3 linked regions of the Astyanax mexicanus genome follow. The protein of the gene in region 1 binds, or shares a complex with, the protein of each later gene. Links are inferred from orthologs where the notes say so. Each region holds a gene or a part of one and is shown on either strand. Other genes may lie near its edges. The genes, in order: smarcd2, arid2 and smarca2.

Evidence for each region.
Region 2: smarcd2 (region 1) and arid2 share a complex: the UniProt entries of both Homo sapiens proteins name them as parts of the SWI/SNF-B (PBAF) chromatin remodeling complex. The link is inferred for Astyanax mexicanus from reciprocal best matches to the Homo sapiens genes SMARCD2 and ARID2.
Region 3: smarcd2 (region 1) and smarca2 share a complex: the UniProt entries of both Homo sapiens proteins name them as parts of the BAF complex. The link is inferred for Astyanax mexicanus from reciprocal best matches to the Homo sapiens genes SMARCD2 and SMARCA2.

The regions. Positions count from the first base shown.
Region 1 is NC_064422.1:21,924,762-21,932,627, forward strand, and holds the start of smarcd2 (SWI/SNF-related matrix-associated actin-dependent regulator of chromatin subfamily D member 2), read right to left. Parts: upstream 3,014-7,866; 5' UTR 2,881-3,013; coding exon 2,725-2,880; intron 1,371-2,724; coding exon 1,189-1,370; intron 1-1,188. Other genes in the region: atxn7l3b (ataxin-7-like protein 3), read right to left, coding at 6,662-6,681. UniProt on the Homo sapiens protein: Involved in transcriptional activation and repression of select genes by chromatin remodeling (alteration of DNA-nucleosome topology).
Region 2 is NC_064409.1:38,201,854-38,208,778, forward strand, and holds the start of arid2 (AT-rich interactive domain-containing protein 2), read left to right. Parts: upstream 1-3,823; 5' UTR 3,824-4,832; coding exon 4,833-4,924; intron 4,925-5,050; coding exon 5,051-5,144; intron 5,145-5,940; coding exon 5,941-6,038; intron 6,039-6,925. UniProt on the Homo sapiens protein: Involved in transcriptional activation and repression of select genes by chromatin remodeling (alteration of DNA-nucleosome topology). Required for the stability of the SWI/SNF chromatin remodeling complex SWI/SNF-B (PBAF).
Region 3 is NC_064429.1:18,434,649-18,442,378, reverse strand, and holds the start of smarca2 (probable global transcription activator SNF2L2), read left to right. Parts: upstream 1-4,684; 5' UTR 4,685-4,775; exon of another isoform or gene 4,776-4,810; intron 4,811-7,730. UniProt on the Homo sapiens protein: ATPase involved in transcriptional activation and repression of select genes by chromatin remodeling (alteration of DNA-nucleosome topology).

The sequences.
Region 1 (7,866 bases):
ACTAAAATAGATCCATCTTCCTCCCAAGCTTGTTTTTAAAGTTGTACAGATGGCACAGCTCTATTAGCACTTCTTCCTTTCGGCGTAATCCAGCAGTTTAGATCATGAGACAGTGTTAGAGTTAAGCTTCCTTTGTTTTACACCAGTGCCTTCACTCCTCCCTTCAGGGCGGAAACAAATGCATCTCTGAGGAAGGGTACAAAAAGTTCTTTCTGCCCCAAAGGACAAGCCACTGTCAATTTGCACATGCTAGAAGATCAAACTGAGATGAGCTTTTCTGTTAATGTACAAGGCTTTGAATGTGGGGAAACCCTTCCTGCTGCTTCACTGCTGGACAAGTTTAAGTGTGTTAGCCACACTCTACCCATTCAATGTTGGCCACAGAAATGCTGTGGAACTGGAATAAGTGAATAATAGGGATGTAATGGTACATTGCTAGTCTTGGTTCGGTTCACATCATGGATTGGACATCACGGTTCTGTATGAGTTTGGTACACAAAGCCCTAAATACATAAGGGTAGGTTTGCTTTTTAAATTATTTGAAACAAAAATCTAGCAAGTTACAATCTGTTCCAATTAGTTTTGCAGTCTGCAACATTCTAGAACATCACAGAACATTTTTTAAGCAAATTTATCAGTTAACTAATTTTGGCCCTAGCTTTCACCCATAAATCACTCTTTTTACAGAGACAAATTATGTATCACCAGGTTTATTTAGCAATGCAAATACAGTTTTGCTACTGTTGAGTTCAGAAGGTAGGCTATATTTTATTTATGTTGAAATATGGATTAAATCTCACAGCTAACTTGCACCTCTTTCCTCTCCCTTGGTCTCCTTTGGTCCTTCCTTTCTCTCTCTTTCTCTCACACGCGCACACACACACTTGCTGCTTCTGTGAAGCATAGGTTTTCCGTGTTTCCTCTCCTACTTGTTTAATTCACTCGTTTACCTGTTAAAGTTGTGTTTAACAGAAGAAGTTATACAAATAGCAGAGTAAATTTTTTATGTTCTATTTGCGCAAATGAAAAGAAATGAATAATTCAGCATAATTAATCACTCTTTACTAGTAAATAATAAATAAAGATTAAGCTTTAATATGTAACAACATGCCACTGGAAAACAACATTGTAATGGTTTAAATAAAAAAAATTGCTGCTGCTAAACTCCAACCTCCAGTGAACACTCACCCTCTCCGAGGCCCCACCAGCCCCCCTGCCTGCTGATGGAGCAGTCTCTTGCGGACCGGGTCCAGCGCTGCCTGAGGCATGCCGGGGCGCATGCTGCCACCATAGGATGGCCCAGGCATGGGGGATCCCATTGGCCCCATCCCACCCATGGGCATGTTTCGACTGGGCGGCATGCTGGGACGCTGCAACCACGCACACACACAGACAGGTCAGAAACACTGGACCACGTATGACAAACAGCAGAATGATAAAAGAGGTAAAGAGACAAAAACGGACTCTAGGCATTTTTTGTTAAAGACCAAACAATGAACACATTTTATTTAACTCATTAATTTTGCCCCTTTTATTTTTTTTTATACAAAACTACAATTAAAATAATTATTCAACACTGAACATTTTAATATCCCAGCAGACACGTCAATAAAGCACAATATTGTTCAGTATTTATTATCTGAGTGTTGAGTAAGAAAGCACTTTCTGCTAAATAATTTTGGTTGGCTAATATTTGGTGCTACCTCTCTGGATTACTGTTTTAATTTTATTTTAAAATGGGATAATCGAGACTGTACATCATTTATATTTTACACTTTTCCTTAATTCATATACATATGTTCAATATAAAAGCTGCAGATAAGGTTGAAGAGGACTGCTTACTATTCATAAAAAATAAATACAGTTTTGGAATTAAATGTAAAGAAAACAATAGCTTGGAAAACATTTAATGGTACTGTTTGTTGAAAAAAAAAACGGTTGTTAAAAAATATAGACCAAAACCATATTAATTATGTATATGGATGACAACTCCAATCATTAAAGGGTAAAAGAGCTTAAGCTACACAATAACAGAACATGAGGAAAATATAAATTATTCATGAACCACAATAGTTTTATTCCTATTATTCTTAACCACTTTAATAGTGAGACAAAGTCCATTTGAAAGACTGCTATCAAATTCCCCTCCCGAAGCCTTGTTTTCACATCTGTTTATGAGATGTGACGCAACATCACGTCAAAGCCAAACATTGAAATGACATGATGCCAAAACTGACGTTTGTGCGCCCCGTTAAATCCGCTTCTTTTAACTTATTTAAATCGATTCTTTCAGCGTGTAAACGAGTATCGGTTTAAGTCAGTTCACTTTAAACGCGGAAGTTCGGTCAACGTTCATGCTAACGCAGATACAACCGTAACATCTTAAAAACGGACTTTTCCCGTTATTTTGCACTTTAAATTACAGAACAGACGGTAACGACATTTTCTTAGCACGGTAATGAATCCGTAACTGTATTAAGGACGGTTTTTGGACATTAATGAACATACACGCGCTGTAATGACTGTGTGTATATGTGTGTACTGTCAGTTAGCTTAGCGAGCCGCTCCCTCAGACAAAAGCGCGTGAGGGGATTTCAGCCAACGGCCGTAACGAAAATAACGAACTTCGCTAAATTTCGAAAAAATAAGAATTTAACGAAAATAACTGAATTCAGCGAGCTGCCAAACTTTCGTTAGGGTCGCGCTGCCACCACACGGGCTTACCGGGTATTGTCCAGTGGGGACCGGGAGACCCCGATAGCCCCCCGTGCTCTGCGGCATCCCCGCCATACGCACACTGCCTGGGGGCCCCGGGGGGCCGGGGTTCGCGGTGCCTGGACCCGCCGGGCTGTTCGGGAGGAACCCCGGTCTGGAAGCCATGCTGCCCGAGCTCCGACGATAACTAAACTATACTAAATAAAACACACGCGCGCTCGTGTTCTCTCTCTCTCTCTCTCCTGTTTCTGTTTCTCTCTCTCCTTTTCTTCCTCTGTTTCTTTCTATCTCCCTCTCTCCTTCTCTCTGGTCCCGCCCCCTCCTGCCAGTCCGCGCTATAATTGGTTGCTCAGTCGTTTTACAAGAGATTGACCAATGACTAAGGGCTGAGGTTCAAGTGGGGGGCCTCCGTGGGTTGCCAGATAATCCCACCGAATGCCTCTTGGACACGGTTGTTGTAAACATCTATATTTTTACACTTCTAGCTAGCGTAATACACTTCTGATTACTAAATCAATTCCTCACAGAGAGTACTATCAACATTTAAAAAGCATTATTATCATTAATGATATGTGCTTGTACAATTACACATTTTTTTAATCTAAGATGAACACACACAAACACACACACACACACACACACACACATATATATAAAACAAAGGGAAGGAATATAAATTTTAGAATAAAACACCTACAAGAACCACTGCCACTACTTCAATATTAATAATGATAATAATAACAAACACTACACAATAAATAAAAAAATGTCTAAAACAGAATATTTATATATAAACATGCCAAATGTCATGGGACAGGAAATTGTATTGTCTCAATTATTTTGTCCTGTCCCATGGATGCTAAAGAACATGATATATGCAAGATATAAGTCTAGGACCTCCTGCGATGAATGTGGAGTAGCCTGTCTGTTCAATTGGACAGATTCCCCTAAGGTCATGTTCATAACCACCACTGTGGGTGGTAGTGACTTCTATGATGTTTTCCCAGTACACAGCTAGCTAGTTAACATACGTCTGACCAGATTTTAAGCAGCATAAAATGTCTTTGTTTCTGTGACTTTAAGGGTTTAGCTGGTAAACAACCAGTGTGAACATACGTGACTATAATGGTTAACCAGCATGACCAACAAGACCAAGTAGGGAGACATTCAAGACCAGCATAACTAGCATAATAAAACTGATCAACCAGCATTACCAAGCTTTCCAATGTTCAAAAAGTTTTTTCAACCCCCTTTACCACCAAGGATCAACTTAGACCATCCTAAAGAATGAAAAAGCGGCTCCTAAGCTCGCTTTTCAGCAGGGTGGTCAGACACTCACAGATGGTTTCTGTAGTTTGTGGACACACCACCAAGCTATGATGCGCTGTGACCAGTGATTGATTGTTGGATATATGTTTTGGGGTCAAGATGAATGGATGAAAATATGGAAATATTTTAATGGCTGTGACAACAGCAACATACACAAAAATGGTTGTTCTTGTAGATAAAATTCAACCAAAATGTTTCCTTCAAAAAACTTTTGTACTGCGATGAATATATGGTTAGCACAGAGGTCCACAGTTTGCCAGGAAAGCAAAGACAAATGGTAAACACTGGAAGTCCAGTGGTTCCTGTTTGGTGGTGGTACTTGTTACTTCTGCATTCATTACTGGCAGTTTCTAACCACAGCTGCCATCATATCCATGCTGGGTACCCACCATGTTCTTCCCCTTTTTGTGTTTGAATTGTAAAGGAAGTCACCGTTCTGTTGAGTGGCTGTGCGGTATTAATCTTACAACTGACAAAGGGCTAGAGTTGGGATGAACAAGACTTCTTTTTGAATCTCAGCATCAATTACCTTCATAATTACCACCAGAGGGACAATGCTAATGTAAAGTAGCTCGCTATGGGATTTGCAATGAAATATGTAACATTATCACAAGGCTAACTGTGTGTATTATCTATTCTATTTGGCTTGATCAGCTTACTGCATTTCCACACCTATAGTTTATTTGGAAACTTGAAGCATTTTCCTCTTGACTTGGTTTAATAGGAGAAAAATTCAAGCACTTAAAAATAAGTCACAACAAACGTGACATGTATATGCTTATTGGTCAGATCTTTCTGGGTTGGGAGCATGAAATAAAATACAGGAAGAAGGTCCTGTGTTCTAAACCAGTGCATATTTCTGTGAAGTTTAACATGGAGTAACATGCAAAATACATTCTTAACTTCTTTTTGGAGAATATTTTGCTATGAATTCCTCAGTCAATACATTAGCCTAACCTGGTGTGTATTCATAACTGTTCATAGGCTAGGCCATTGAGTTGCATTATTTAGAAAAATACTTATTTTACTTAGTTTCTTAAACATAATTGTGTCAAAAGTTACAGGAGAAATCCAGAAATTAACTGTACAATAACGTACCAGTTTTCATTGTCTCCATGTGAGGAGTTATCAATGGAACAACATGCAAGCCTGTAATACAACATTTATAAAATTGACTTTTTTATTTAGCATCTAACAACCTACATTCATCCCTTTTATCATAAACAAAGAGCTGGTTGAAAAGCTCGTCATCTAGGTGAAAATATACCCTATACCAGGTGGTTAAGTGGGTTAAGTAACTTGTTACCTCTTGATCAGCATTACGTATGTTTTCCTTTGAGTTTGATGGACTAACTTGTCTACCAGCAGCACAATAAACTTGTCTAAGCTAGTCAATAACCTGGTTGTTAGCTTCAGGTTGTTGGTCACAAGCTAAGCTGGTCAGCCTGCTTAACAAGGGTGAGCTAGGGTGGAGCTAGCCAGGCTATTTTCAGCAGGGTACTGAAGTGAACCTCAAACACACATACATGGTTCTGATCGTTTATTACACGTGTTGACATGTCCACAAGCATACGGCTCATGGCCTGGCCAGGATAGCAGCATTTTTCACCTAGTCAAATGTATGTACAGTTACAACACAGTGAAGACACACATGATTCCTTACACTGTAAACATCTAGTACACAGAAACAAGACCAAGAAAGGAAGAAACAAAAAAATGATAAAAGGAGAAATTCTAGTCTTGATACGTTCTCCTCAAAGGAATACGTACGTCTTTCTGCCAGAGGCAATTTCAAGTGTTTATACAGAGTCTCAAAGTTTTATTTTATAATATTTTTTCCTGTAAGAGTGCGATATTAGAAGATCATAATTGTTCTTCAAGGTGTCAACACGGCTCTTTTGCCTTGAGGATCACCAGGAAAAAAAAAAGGATGCACCTTTGTGGATTCGTGCAAAAAGCCCCTTACAACTCGAAATGGTGAAATAAGCAGCATTGATTGATGAGTTATTTATCAGTCCTGTTCTTTGCAAATATCTTTTCTTGGCCATCATTTAAAAACACGTCCTCCTCAGCCGTTTAAGACCTAGTGAAGACGTGCAAAAGAAAAATCAAAAGTCTCAAGTGAAGGGAGGCATCCGCCACTTGCTTACTACCACCTGCCATTCAAACCAATGGCCCCGCCCCGGTCCTCCCTGAGAGCTTCCCATTGTTGTGCGCGTTCCACGCCACCAGGTCGCGCCACTCTGAAGAACTATCAAGTTACACTGTCAAGACAAAACGATCAACACGACATCGATTCATTGTGCAAAATATTCCAGGAAAATAAAGAGAAAAAGAAAGAGAGAAAGAGAGAAACAGAGTGAGAAAGAAAACACTTGTGTAAACCGAACGGTGAAGCTAATCGATGGCCCTTCCGCCAGTCAGCACAATTCAGGTCGTGCGTTTGTTACTGAAGGTGAGCCAAACGGCATTGTGGGTAGTGATTGGAGGGCCCCCCCCCATTGCCAATGTCGTTACTGTGGAAACGACTCGTCTCTTAGCAACACACGCGGACTCCCTTGGTTCTTCTCATGTCGCTTTGAGCCCAGCAAAGCTGAAGGACGAACTTGGAGCGTCGTCAATGAGTCATCCTCACTCCTACATGTGCAATTCATTGAGTGAGATGTTAGAACACGAAACTGTAACAACATCTACATAAACACATTTAAGACACTATAAACAGACCCCTCCAAAAATATTGGAACAGTGAGGCTGATCCATGTATTCACACCTGCTGTAGACTGAAAACATTTGGGTTTGATATTAAAAATTGATATCATGCAAAAGATCAACATTTCAGCTTTTATTTCCAGGTACATCTAATTCTGATACACAGTTCAGAAGATGGCACCTTTTATCGGAACCCACCCATTTTTCTTTTTTTGGGCAAAAGTATTGGAACAGATAGACTTAAATACAGATTAAAGTTGAAATTCCTTATTTAGCTACAAATCCTGTGCTTGCAATAACTGCATCACGTCTGTGACCCACTGACGTTACTAAACTTTCGCATTCTTCTTCTGCGATGCTTTCCAGGCAGTGAGTTTTGGGTCATCATTTTGCTGTATGATGAAGGATCTCCCAATTAGATTGGTTGCATCTTTCTTTAAATTGAAAGACAAAAGTTTCAGTAGAAAACTTTGTTTCACAGACAAGCTTGTATGTTTGGAATCATGAGCAGATTCTTTCTTTCTCCAAAATTTAGCCTTTCAATCACATTGGTAAAAGTTCATCAGTCCATATTCTTATCACTGTACATCTTGGGAAATTCCAGCTTTTAAATCCTCAGCGAACAGTAGATTGCAATACCTTCACTCCTACCTTTTGAAGGTTGTTGCTGATGCCACTAGCAGTTGTTTGATGGTCTTTCTTTACAGTATTAACAATGTTTCGACTGCTGTGGTTTTATTGGCTATGGACAATATCTATGCAATGGTTCCAATTGATTTTTCATCATCTCTCAGCTTCACAATTGCTCGTTTTTCATGTTTACTCATTTAAATATCAAATGCACAGTCCACATGGGCTAAATCCAAACTGAAACTAAGCATATACATTCAGAGCTATTTATTGTTTGAGCAGTCAATGTATCAGAACACACCTGGGCAACAAAATACACCTGAAAGTCACATGTTCCAATATTATTTCTCATAACAAAAATGAGGTCAGACAAAAAGCACAATGTTCTAAACTGTGTATCAGATCCTTTTATGTCTACAGCTCTCAATGCTCCAATACTTTTGGAAGGTGCTGTCACTGCTACATCACACAAAGATACTTCAA
Region 2 (6,925 bases), on another chromosome or scaffold:
TTACATATTTCAACTTTTTCTTAATGAATATTGAAGCGCATGCTCTCACGAGTGTTTTGATACCAAACATGCCAGGATTGGTCAAAATTCCTAGGACTAGTTTGCAAAAGTAGGTTTTGCATATTATGCAAATTAGCAAAAAATCTATATAGACGGAAGTGCATGGTCCAAATTGGAAAGTTGTTGGTATTGACCCAAGGAATCCATCAAAAAAAGAATTTTGAATGTAGGTCTTATGGTTTTTGAGTTATTCAGAAAATTGTGAAAAATGAATTTCCTTGTTTATAGCGCCACCACTTGACCAATCGGTGCCATTTTTGTTGTCCACCGAGATCTACCTACCAAGTTTAATTTCTCTATGACTTACGGTTTAGGCTGCACAACTGTTTTTTCAGGAGAAAAAGAATAATAATAAGAAGAAGAAGAAGAAGAAGAAGAAGAAGAAGAAAAATCTTAGCAAAAACAATAGGGTTCTACGCACCTTCGGTGCTTGAACCCTAATAATGAAGTCATGGGCTTGGCTTAGTAAAGCACTGGAAAGAGATAAGTAAGTTGTGGGCATGGCTTAATAAGAAACAAATAAAATAATGAAGTCATGGGCTTGGCTTAGTAAGGCAGAGATATGAGATAATTAATGTGTGGGCATGACTTTGAAAGACAGATATGAAATAGTTAAATCATGGGCATGACATAGTAAGGCATGGGAATTAGATAATTATTTTGTGGGCATGGGAAAAAGACAAAGTCATGGGTATGGCTTAGTAAGGCAGAGATATGAGATAATTAATTTGTGGGCATGACTTTGAAACACAGATATGAAATAGTTAAATCATTGGCATGACTAAGTAGGGCATAGATATAAAATAGTTAAGTTGTGGGCATGACTTAGTGTGGCATGGGACTGCAGTAATTAAGTCATGGGCGTGAATTAGTAACACACAAAAAATAGATAACTAAGTTGTGGGCATGACTTAGTAAGGCATAGGAACAAAATAATTAAGTCATGGGCAAGAATTAGTAAGGCATGGGAACGAGATAATTAAATTGTGGGCATGACTTTGAAAGAAAGATATAAAATAGTTAAATCATGGGTATGACTTAGTAAGGCATGGGAATCAGATAATTATTTTGTGGGCAATGAGCATGACTTAATAAGACATGGAGAGGAGATGATTAAGTTGTGGCCACAATTTAGTATGTGGAAACCAGATCTTAGACTTACAACTTAATTATTTGTGCCTTAACGCGAAAGGTCAAATTATCTTAAAAAAAACAACCCTGTTATCTTATAAAAGCATTTTGTATTATCTTGAGACTACAATAAAAAATATTTGTGATGCGGGATTGGATTCTTTCAGGATTTTCATGTGATTTTGCCATTTTTACGAAATGACTTTTTTTCTTAAACATTACAGTTAAAATTGTCGTCGCCTCTTTTTTTGTTGTTGTTGCTCTGTTTCACTATTTTCTATATTTTGATATTTGACTGTACCCAGACAGCAGGCGACTCGGATCCGGATCTGTTTTACCTCCAGCAGATCCTTGAGAATACCGGTGTATAACTGGAGGTCAGTCGAGTCATGTTGTGCTGTAGTGCTGTAGAGAGGAGTCAGTGTGTACTGCGGTGGTGTTGGCGATAGAGGGCGCTGTTCACCGCGGCTTAATGACTCCCCGGAGGACGATCAGCACTCTGCTCAACTGTCTTTCTCTGTCCATTCATTCAGGACAGTCACTCTGTGCACTGTCTGAAAGTCAGAATGACACTTTAATCAATGAAGAGCAATAAAAATAATTTATACTGATACTCAAATTTGAAGAAATGCGGTTTTTAAACCAAATTAATAATCGAAATTTAACTAACACACTAATCATAGCTACACTAGTTACATAGATATGGAATAAGCCAATACATTATGCATCAACATCTGCATAGACAGAAATAAAGAACATTTATAACCTATTAAATGTATTTTTATTATACACGTTTTAAACGACTTATGAGGTCCGTAGTATTTATGGACTAAAGAAGCTGGTGGGCAAAAACGGGTTAGCTAGAAACAAAAGCCAAAACAAACACACACAGTATAAATTAATGAATGTTTGTTTATTGGTTATTTATGTATATTTCTGAATAAAAAAAAGCACAGTAGGGTGAATGTGGTCGAATCTCGAAGCTGAATCTTCTCTCAATTTTCAGATTTGTCAATTTTTGTATCTTTCAATACAGATCTGAACTTGCAAAATAATCATATATATATATATATATATATATATATATATATATATATATATATATATATATATATATATATATATATATATATATAGTAAGGGGCAGAGATAAAAAAAAAACTACAATTGGAAAAATGGATGAAAACTTATTTATTGTACACCGCACTTCATTTTTAAAAAATAATGAGTTTTTACATCCAATTTAATATTTTTGCATTTTACCTCAAATGGTCAGTAAATGTAATTAATAAACGTTACACTGGCCGAATGTGAAAGCCTGTAATGATCTGTGGTGGCGGGGTGCAGTAGCTGTGCTCGGGCTGCTGTAATGTATTATAAATCTAACGCTGGTTCACAGTTAACAGCAGCAGCAGTCTAATGGTGGCGGCGGGTCACTGAGTTCAGCCTCCCGCTCGGGTTTCAGACTACACAGATAAACGCAGGACGGCTATAACCCGCCGCACACTCGAATAATAAGAAGTATGTTTACCTCAGAAGCTTAATGACTGAGATAACAAAGCAGTAAATGCCCAGAGAGCCGCGCAGCAACTGAATTAGCTACAGACCTGACTGACATATTAAGCTAAGCGGCTAACGCCAACTAGCTTAGCTTAAGAAATGCTAGTGAGCTAACCGTCGCGGGTGAAGGTCGGCGGTTTAAACGCGGTTTTACACCGAAAACCAAACCAAACACGCCGATATCTAAACCGGTTTATCCCACAGCGCCTCTTAAACTAAACACAGCGGCGGGCTGGATGTCAGAGGATGGGTTTTCGGCGGTGTGTGTGACACAATATGTGTGTGTAAGTGTGTGTGAGAGCTGAGACAGCAGCGGACAGGTTACAGCGGATCTGTAGCCGAGCAGTAGTCGGATCATGTAGAGAATCGTATTCAATGTTTCCACTCCACCTTAAATAAAGTAACAGTTACACTTTAGACACATGTAGCTACTGAAGGAGCAACATATTAATGTAACCGATGCGATATTTAAGGTGGAATTGAAGAGCTGCGGGCAGGTGAAGTTAGTTCATTAGCTGCCGTCTCCAGTGGAGCTGCTGTTTCCGCGGAGCTGCGGCGCGGCTCGCCGGTGCTAGCTAATGTTCCCCGGTGTAACGCAGCCAATTCGCGTTAGAAAAAAGCCGTTTAACGACAGATTTTCCCATTGCCGAAAGCCGTTTCAGTTCAGTCCTCCTCCGTGTCAGTGTGACAAAATGGGGTCTTTGGTGTTGAGCTCCGCCATTTTGTGACAGAGCGCGCTCCGCTCAAAGGGGAGCGTGTAATGGTTGAATGTAGTAAAGCCGTCAGTTAGAGAGATACACGCCTGGCAGCGAGGAGGAGGAGATACCAGGGATCAGCGGCAATTTACACTTACACCAACAGACAGCACTCACTGCTCACCACTGAACACACACTGTTCAAGAACAAACACCACAGCGCGGAGCCCAAAACTCCCCACTACTCAGGTGTTTCTACCTGTACCTGTATGTTTAAAATACATGCACTCATGTTTTTGTAGGGCTGCCCAGATGAACTGTAGCCCAAAATATTAAATTAATTACATAAAAGTAAGACGAGCAGAGGCGAGTTGATGAGGTCTTTATTTTAAACCCAGTTGAGTCAGACTCTTAATGACAAACAGGTTAGGGTTAAATAACAATACATATTGTTGTAAATTATTCAAAACTGTTTAATCTCTATAATTTATTTTTTTGTTTTCATGCAATTGTTTTTACAAGTTTGTAAAAATGAATAACAATAACAGCAACAATTATTATTATTTCCATTCTCATTTAGCAAACTAATCAACTTTTATTTAGTTATATATTTTATTTATTATTTATTTTGTCCCTGTCAGTGAAAATATTTTTTTTCCCCACAGAGATGTATGTAAACTATAAGACCTGTTTTGGTCAGGCAGCAGCGCTGTAACCTGCCGGGGGCTGATGTATTTTTACTCGTCTGGTGAATTTGGTGTCTCCCCCCTCCCCCACAGACGCTCTCCGCTCTGTTCAGTTTTAACGGATCTCGGAAGTTTCAGATGAGCCCTTAAAAAAAGAAATAAAAAAAGGAAAAAACTGAAAACACTGTCTGTCTATTGTTCCGCCGAGGCGCCTCGGCCGGTGCACTACCTGTGCGGGCGGCGCGGGGGCGCTGCAGAGCGGCCAGGGCCCGCGGCCTCGCTCGGGTCTTTTTGTTTGAGAACTGGATCCCGCTTCACAGTGTGTGTGTGAGAGAGTGTGTATGCCGCCGCGTCTGTAGCACACTGTCAAAACCACTCCAAAACCAACACGTCCAGCAGCCAGCACGGTCTTCATTTTTACATCTCGCGCCATGGCAACGCTGGTGTGCCGTTGAATCCGAGCGCTATTCCGATGTTTTGGCCGAAGTTAGAGCGGGCTCGGATCAGGTCTGTTTTCTGTGCGGCTCCTCTCAACAGTCCTCATTAGCTGAGAGCTGGCGCTCTGCTCTCCCTTCGCCGTTTCTTTAACTTTTTAAACACTCAGCCTCGCGAATGACTGAGCGCCGCCGGAGCATGGGATCCCCGGCGTCGTAGGAAGCGAAGCAGTCCGGGTTTTGACCGCTTTTGAGGATCCGAAACGATGGCAAATTCGACGGGAAAAAGCCTGCCCGAGCAGCGGAGGAAAGGACTAGCTTTCCTGGACGAGCTGCGGCAATTTCACCAAAGCAGAGGGTGAGAGGAGGGGGGATGCCTTTTATTCGTCCAAATGTTAAACTTCAAGCTGCTTAAAGTCGTCCGGAGCGGCCGGAGCGTCCAGTCCGTCCTCGGTTAACCGTGTGCTTCTTTCTCTTTCTCCAGGTCGCCGTTTAAGAAGGTCCCGCTGGTGGGTGGAAAGGAGCTGGACCTGGGCGCTCTCTACTCGAGAGTCGTCTCTTTAGGTGGATTCGCTAAGGTTAGTGCGACCAAAAGTGCTCATAAATGCCTCTCTCCGGAGCTCTCGGCGGGGCTTCTTGCCGGCTCCTGTGGCCGCCGGCTCGGCCTGGAGGTTCTGGCGTATTTAACCGATTTCCAGCCCGAGTTTGGGGCTATAAAATGGCCTTGTGTGGTGAAGCCTGTGTGTGAGCGAGAGCGAGGGAGAGGGGGAGAGAGAGAGCGGGTATGAATTGAAAGTCCGGGATGTTAGCGGCTCCGCTGCTCCGCCGGGGAGTGCGAGTGCAGTTTGAGCGACTCCAAACCAGCGGCGGAGGCTAAACATCGATTACCGGCGGGCAGCACCGCGGGCTCGGCTTTCGGCCGCGCTTTTCCACCGCGCTCGCTTGGAGGAAGCTAGTAACTCGCCATAGCCTGTGTTTGGCTTCGTGGCTCAGCTAAACCGTAGGCCTCACAGACAGGCCTGTTTTATTCAGCACTGTAAATACAACATCACACGAGCCCAAATGCCCTCCGCCGCCGCGGCTCTCCACCGCGGGGACGGGTTCGGGCTGGGGGAGCCTCGCTGTCGCGGCTCGGGATTTTTTGTTGTTTAAAAAGTGCGGTTAGCCGGACTGCTAACGGTGGTTAGCAGGCTGCCTGATTCAAACTGCTGTAGCTGGTGACCGGGCGGCAGGCAGGCGAGCACGGTCGGCTCATCAGCTCGCATGTGCTTGTCAAATCGAAGAAATGCCGACTTTATCACGAGCTTTTATATCCTGTGGATGTCCACAGACTCATGGACGCGTGTTTGTTTTGTTTATCTCCCTCTTTTGTAGGTCTCTGACAAAAACCAGTGGTCTGAACTTGGCGAAGAGTTTAATTTCCCGAGGAGTTGCTCCAACGCTGCTTTTGTTTTAAAACAGTACTACCTTCGGTAAGTCAGCGTGTTTCCCTCCTCAGCCATGTGTACACACACTCACTCACTCACACACACTCCAGCCGCTCAGCGGGCCACCGGCGCTCTCAGCTTCACACCTCGGATAAAACTCACTCATTACAACTTTTATCTTTTCGGCTCCAGGAAAGTTTTTGTGTTGTGTTCACGAGGCTCAGCTCAGGCCTTTGTCTCACTCTCTCCGTGTGCTCTTTGGTCTCCTACAGCCGGTGGGAGTTTTAGGAGCCTGAAACTTTAGCATATGGTCTGTTGTGGCTTTGTTTACAGTATAAGAGCAACACCAACAGTCCAATTCTCACACATCAGAACATCTCCCTGATGTTTTTGGTCATTTCAAACATCCAGGTTTTTAAGTACACAAGCACTGCAGTGTTTAATAAAAAAAGTATGTTTTTTACTGCTGAGAAATTAGACTACAAAAGTCCTTAAGTGAGTAAAAAAAATTAAAACTACTGTTTCCTCCTTTTTTCTTATTTAAAGTGTCTGTATGCAGTAATGTGGGTGCTGTGTCTTACATGTGGCCAATTAATTGTAATTCATTTCTCCATCTTTTTAGTATATGTTGTAATGTGAGTAGTAGGTGAGGCATTTTTCCCCCTGACCTTTTAAATAGATATAGTAATGCAAGTGTTATTACTGTGATGTGCTTTTAGTGGTTCAGAGGGGAGATGTTATACTTGCACCGTTTCAAAAACAAAAGGTGAAAAAGTATTTAGCTCTGTTATTTTTGTACCTATACCGGTATTCTGCATTTTTGCACGTGCAGAATAAAGGACTGAAACTGCTTCACAACATAGGAGTGTAGTACACTGACCAGCTCAAAGGCTGGCACCCGCCAAAAATAAGGCTGTTTCTGTGTCTTCCAT
Region 3 (7,730 bases), on another chromosome or scaffold:
TATCTGCCTATGGCCTATTCAAATCCCCAGCACGGCATCATCCTGCAGCTCATCTTTAATGACTCTCTTTTACATTAAAGCTCCCACTGTGTGAAAGGAGATCATTAAAGGCCTGGTGCTGTGTGTGTGTGTGTATTTTGTTACTGTGGTTTATCTAAAGGTGAATCTTCGTGTTTGATCAGAGAGACACTGGTTCATCTCAGATTCCCAGACAGTAAGACGTGTTTATTTAAGCTTAGACTAATGGTCTGTGAAGACTTCGCTGGACTAATTTGACCAGTTTAGCAGTAATTATCTGAAGCCTCTGCACTTACTTATCAAAACAATGAATACATACACTTCATTTCATCAAACATGTATCTCCAAAATAGCAACTTTACAGGGGAAAGATAAAACCTTATTAACTTTCAATGGAAGTCAGTGTAAAAATGAGTTTATTTCTGCTATTTCTTAAGAATTTTTATTGGTCTATTCATTAAGAAATTTTGAAACAATGTAGGAGACACTTGGTTGTTAAACCAAAAGAATAATATATATATATATTTTATGATTGTTTTTTTTATTACCTTTAGTACTTTGCATTTTAGCATTTAAATAACTCTGATTACCAATCTTTTATTTGTTGGCTTATTATTATTCTTGTAATTGGTTCTTGTTGTCTTTTACCTTATTTTACCTTATATTTTTTTGTAGTTTATAAATTTTGCTTTTAACTTAATTGTTTCTTGTTCACCTGTTAGTGTATGTACATTAATTTAAACTGCATTTAAACGTAAATTAAAAAATATTTTTTATTATTATAATATATAATATCATTATAATATTAATATAATATTATTATTTATTGGACAATGACAATATGAACTGTATAAATGTTTTCAATGAACAGAAATCGTGTTTTTCACTAACCCAATCTCTATCTAACTGTAGATAATACAATATATAGTACTGTGCATATAGGTTTATTAGAATGAACTAAATTGGAATGAAAATGCTAAACAAAAATTTAATTCACTAATATTAGAATAAATAGTTTACATTCATACAGAAAATAGTGTTTTAACACTACTGTATTCACTAAGACATCTCCATAGCTTTTTTTCCTGGGAACCTGTAAATGTAAGTATTGTTTATCATCATATCAACAGCTGGTTTGGTGAATCAGGGCTTGATTTTAATTCAGCAGACAATCCACAATTCTTGGCTGGAGGGGCATCCAGGAAAAATCTGGGACCAAGCTTTGTTCACCAGACTAACTCAATTCCACAGGAGCTCATCTACTTTCTTTAAAATGAGAAATATCTACTTTTTACATTTTTTTTTGGCCTGTGAATGTGAATCTGACAGCGTTTTTTTTAACTGTGTGAAATTTCAAGATGAATAGACAAATAAAATGTTCTACAATTACCAATCATTTAACATTAACATTTACTGAAAGTGAAAAGGTTTTTTTCCTATTTTCTTAAAAAAATTATCATAATGATATTTAAAATTTTGAAAGTTGGAATATTAATTTGTATACAGTGTTCAAGTTAAGAAATTGTAATACAGCTCTAAAAGTAACATAATGGATATATAATGTAGTTGTTAATATTGGAAAACAATAAAAAAAAAAAAATCTAATCAGGTTTATTGTCACATTATATTAGCACAGGTTTACCTCTTAGTAGTAAAACAGCAAATATTTACAGTAGGATGTTTATGGCCAAAACCTTGGCGATATGATACATATCACGATACAGGGGTTATGGTTCAGCATATAAAAAAAAACTAACAACAGAGTACAACACTGCTATCTAGTGGTCGGAGTTTGAACACAACAGTAAATGAACCAATGTCTGACCCAAAATTAATAATTAAAATTCAATACTGTATTTTTATAAATCCATATAGTATTAAAAATATACAATACAATATTGATATGTTATTACACCCCTAATTTGCATACAAAATTGAATAAGAATATATATACTTCAGTTTGTCAGTCACACACTGTCTTATACAGTTCAAGCAACTTTACAGGAGGTACATCTGCTTAATGAACGTCAATATAAAACCAAAATAATCCAAGTCATTTGAAGTATTTATATTTCTCCATTTATTGTGAAATAATAATAATTTAATAATAATAATAATAATCATTTAAAACTATTTGAGATAAAATAAAATAAGATAAGATAATCCTTTATTAGTTTCACAGTTCGTTTTTAACTATTTTAAGTATTAATAAAAAGGTAATAAAAAAGGAATTCATAATTATAAATGTAAATAACTAAAATATGTAGAATATTTTATTTCGATATTTACATTAATTGAAAAAAAGCTGTATTGCACATTAAGAGGTAAGAGATATGAGTTCTGCATCTAGAAAGTGGATAGTGTGTGGGCACATGTACACTGTAAGTGTGTGTGGTCTACTGGGAGCAGTGCTATTTATACTGGTATTTAAATATCACCAGAATAACATCATGTCCCACAATAACAGAGTTTAACTAAAAATCAAAGGCACATCATAATTTTATTCATACATATATATATATATATACTATATAACAGTCTGTGAATGTTAACTGCCATACTAAATGCTAATACTTTTGAAAGTAATGCAATAATAACTTGGTACACCTGTTTTCACACGTCTATTTCCATATGTTTTGTGTGTGCAGCATGCAGGCTCTCACAACACCTCGGAGTCCTGTATTTAAACATGTGGCCGGAGTGAACCTGCTAAAGGAAACAAGCGTAAGGACATAATCTGTCATTCCACCACTGGCCTTACAATCAACATGCCCGTCTCACCTGATAGCATCGGCCAGGTGTCCTTTACACACATCTCACAACACACACTCTCTCTCTCTCTCACACACACACTCTCTCACATTGCCAGGCAAATTACTGTATGTTTTGGAAAGATATGTTGGTAAACACTTGATGAGAGTACTGGGAAAATATGTCAGATCAGCAAACAGGCACTAAGCATGTATTTGAACTAACAGCAAGTCTATTCATTTATTTATTTATATATTTAGGGCTATTTTTAACATATCATTATCACTAGTTACTGGTTTTCTTGAGTAATATTGCTGTATTCATAAAGTCCTATATGTTGTCATCTGATTTTTTTTTTCAACAAATTTAGATTTGTAAATTAAGCTATTTTGGCTTTTTCTTATTCGTGCTTGATTTATATCATTTTGCACATTTAAACAGCATTATAAAAACTGGATTTCCATAACTGACCATATCAGCATCTTACAACATACATAAACAGGCCATCAGTTCACAGCAGCAGCAGCTGTATTGCTGTACAGATGTGTAGGTCTCTGTCTCCCCCGTGCGGCTGAGACGCGCTACTGCAGCTCAGCGCATTTATAAGAGTCAGCTCACTGACTGACTTTAACTTCAGGCCTCTTGCTTTAATTAGTTAATTAGTGTGGGACATACAGATCTGAAAAAATTCACGAGACCACTTCAGTTTCTGAATCAGTTTCTCTGATTTTGCTATTTATAGGTATATGTTTGAGTAAAATGAACATTGTTGTTTGATTCTATAAACTACGGACAATATTTCTCCCAAATTCCAAATAAAAATATTGTCATTTACAGCATTTATTTGCAGAAAATGAGAAATGGATGAAATAACAAACAAGATGCAGAGCTTTCAGACCTTAAATGATGCAAAGAAAACAAGTTTATGTTCATAAACTTTACACTGCATCTATCAGACTTCCCATATTATATATTATATTACACACTATATATATATATATATATATATATATATATATATATATATATATATATATATATATATACGTATATATATATACGTGTATATATATATATATATATATATATATATATATATATATATATATATATATATATATATACGTATATATATATACGTATATATATATATATATATACGTATATATATATACGTATATATATATATATATATATATATATATACACGTATATATATATATATATATATATATATATATATATATATATATATATATATATTATACAGCATTCTGCCCCTTGTACTCCCCAATCAACTCATTCCTTACCTGCACTTACTCATAGTTATTCTGTTACCTACTGGACTATTTCCTCATTTCCACACACACACACTCTAGATATCTTTTAATCACAGTTTTCATGCATCTTGGCATGTTCTCCTCCACCAGTCTTACACACTGCTTTTGGAAAACTTTATGACAGCTTATGTTCAGCTTGGTTTGATGGCTTGTGATCATCCATCTTCCTCTTTATTATATTCCAGAGGTTTTCAATTAGGTAAAATCAAAGAAATTCATAATTTTTAAGTGGTATATATATATACTTGAATTTGACTATAAAAGCTAAAATACAAAATAATACGCATATGAGGATTATTTTGTATATGTATGAGGACTTTTTTATATTTTAGCATTTATAATGAGTCAAGTTCAAGTTCAACAGCACTCCCACTCCCACCCTCACACACCCTCACACCCTCACACACACACACACTCCAGTAGCGCCACGGTTCCAGCACGTTCGGCGCAGCATAGTGAAAGTGATCACTAAGCCCCGCCACAAAAATACAGGACCGCTTGATTGACGTCCGCCTCGACCAATCAGGCTGCAAAGCGGGTAATATTTCGGCTCGTATCGACCAATCAAAAACGAGCCTTCGCTTAACTTGAAGATGTCAGCGAAAAAAACACAGAGGGGGAGGGGATCCACTAATGGCAGTCATATTTTGAAGGCGAAATAATGCTGTAGGTCCAAAATATCGATTTGTGTCGCCTGTAAGGTAACCGAGTCTTATACTGTTTACCTTAAAAATGTGAATAAATACTGGTTAGTTGGAATAGGGGTCAGGTTTGGGGCTGTGGAGAGGTCTCGGGGGCTGTTAGGGCTCGCTGTGGCATAGCTTAGATAACTGTACAGACGGGGCTAGCTGGCTAACCTGCTAGCATGCTGCTAACAAGCTGGGTACTTCTGGTGTATAGGTAATATAGCGCTAGCTGCGAGCGGGCGGCTGGCTGGCTGTAGACGGGTATCTAGGCTTGCTAGCCCAGCCTTCTTACCTGAGCTGCGCGTCGGCGAGAAGTTTGAGAAGAATACAGACTAATAGTTAGCTGGGATAAATAGTTATTTAGCTCACTCGCTGACTGACAGCAAGCAGTAACTGAACGCAGCCCTGTTTCAGGCTCTTCTGCTGCAGACAGAACTGTCATGGCGAAGTCTCAGAAACTTTTCTCTGCCAGATTTAACGGAACTGCAACGGCGCTGCTGTCCCAAAATAACAACTTCAGGCTAATAGTCTGCTCCTTACTGAGCTGAAACTTAATTACTGCTGAAAAATATATTTAAAAAATCTAATTTAGTCACGTATGTCTCACAAAGTTTCCCTGATTTTTGGTTATTTGCAGAGGTGACAGTTCAAATATGGCAAATTCAGGTCAATACAGTAAAAATCCACCGCAGGTTTTCCTTCCAACCGCCCGGGCTGCTCACTGTCTCCGCTGCAGCCGGTCCGCCCAGTCAGCTGAAACGAAATACCGGAGTGGACTTTTACTTTTTGAACTGAATTTTCCTAATTTGTTTATTTGAGGCCACACACCTTAGGCCTGTAACTACAGCGTATCTACTGCTTTACGATAATTTAGATTCAAATATAGATTCAGAAATAAAATCCTGTGCTGGATTTTTACTTTTTTTGACCTGAATATGTCATATTTGTTTATTTGAAGCCTATAGAGTTTATCTACTGCCTATATAAGGTAATTTATATGCAGAAATAAATTACTGTGGTAAATGTGTACTTTTTGACTTGGATATGCCACTGTTGATACATTATCATGGAAAAAATGAGAGACCACTTCAGTTTCTGAATCAGTTTCTCTGATTTAGCTATATATATATATATATATATATATATATATATATATATATATATATATATATATATAGCAAATTCCTAATTAAAAAATATTGTCATTTAGAGCATTTATTTGCAGAAAAGGAAAAATGGCTGAAATAACAGAAAAACATGCAGAGCTTTCAGACCTCAAATAATGCAAAGAAAACAAGTTCATATTCATAAAGTTATACGAGTTCAGATATCAACATTAAGTGGAATAACCCTGGTTATCCTCTTGTCCTTTTGATTATATTAAATATTATTTTCAATTTGGTAAAATCAAAGAAACTCATCATTTTTAATTGGTTTCTTATTTTTTCAGAGCTGTATATTTATTTATATGCTATGTTTAAGACCACAATGTAAAGCTAGGTCTCTATAGGTTATTACACTGCTCTAGAAATTTAGATAGATGTTTTAATTTTTTGTTAGAATAGACCACTTTTATAATATAGAATTTAGTTGTTATGCCTAAATTGTAGGAACATAATTTTTTTTATTAATATTTTATCAATTGCTTTGAATAATAATTATTTTACTTTAATGTTATGGTTAGGGCAATAAAAACTGATTTGTATTTAGTATTATTTTTGATTTCATTTAAATAGAATACAGACTTGAAATACTCGTAGAAAATAAGATGAAGAATATAGCACACAGCCCACACAAAGTTACCTAAGGTAGCTTGGGGGGAATCGCTATGCACTGATGGTGAGTGTCAGAATTTGGGGGACAAACCCAGTATGCAAATAGATTGTGCCAAAAGCCAATAAAAAAAGCTGCCAGTGGCAACAGACTAAACTTCAACTCTAAGATTCAGCTCTGTCTCAAAATCTCCATTTAAACATATATGTGCCCACAAAACCTAATTTAAAATAGTTGAATGATGTTTGAAATATCCAATTTTACATAAAACAGACCTAATTTGTTTAAGTTCAAACTAATTGTGGGTTTTCTGTGTATTGCTTTAGGAAAATTCTGATTCAGAAATAAAATACAAGCGTGGATTTCTACTTTTTACAACTGAATTTGCCACTGTTGAAAAAAATAGGTAAATTGTTTTCCACTTTTAAAATACATTTTAAAGGGAAAACATTTTCTGCCACTTCTACAACAGCTTAATAAACTGTTTTTTCTATTGGATTATATCCAAAATAAGCTCTTCTTACATAAAAAAACGAGGGAAAATGAGGGAATTGTGAGTTACTTGACCATTACTAATTCAGCAGTGGATTTGAGGTGAAGGTCGTCTAAAGAGACATGTGTCAGATTGTCATTTGGGTCATATGGTTGCGTTGTTATGCAAATTATGTCTTACTTTTTTTAGTAAAACAAAAATACTCATGCATTGTTTCTTTACAAATAAAGGATTTTAGAGGAATTATCATGCTTTTGTTGGAGTAACTATCTCTGCTTTCCAGATTTTTTTTATTTTTTTTATTTAATTAAATTTTTATTATTTTATTTTGTAGCAGTGCTGTGATTTGCTTGTATTCAGGATGTTAAATGAGTACCACCCCACTACATTCCCAGCTTTTGAGTTTAACCCAGAAGTATTTTTATTTTTTCACATTTTTAATGCGTATACTCCTCTAGGCCATGCCAGTAGGTTCATTCTATTGGCAGTACTCTACAGCGATTAGCTGCATGTGTACATTTGTACACCACTGTCAGCAAGGAATACTGGGGAACTTAAGGAGCTAAAAACATTTAATAGAAGGGGTGTCCACTAGGGGTGGGCAATATTATATCGTATACAATATATCGTGACACAGAAATATCATGATATTAAAAATCCATATCGTGA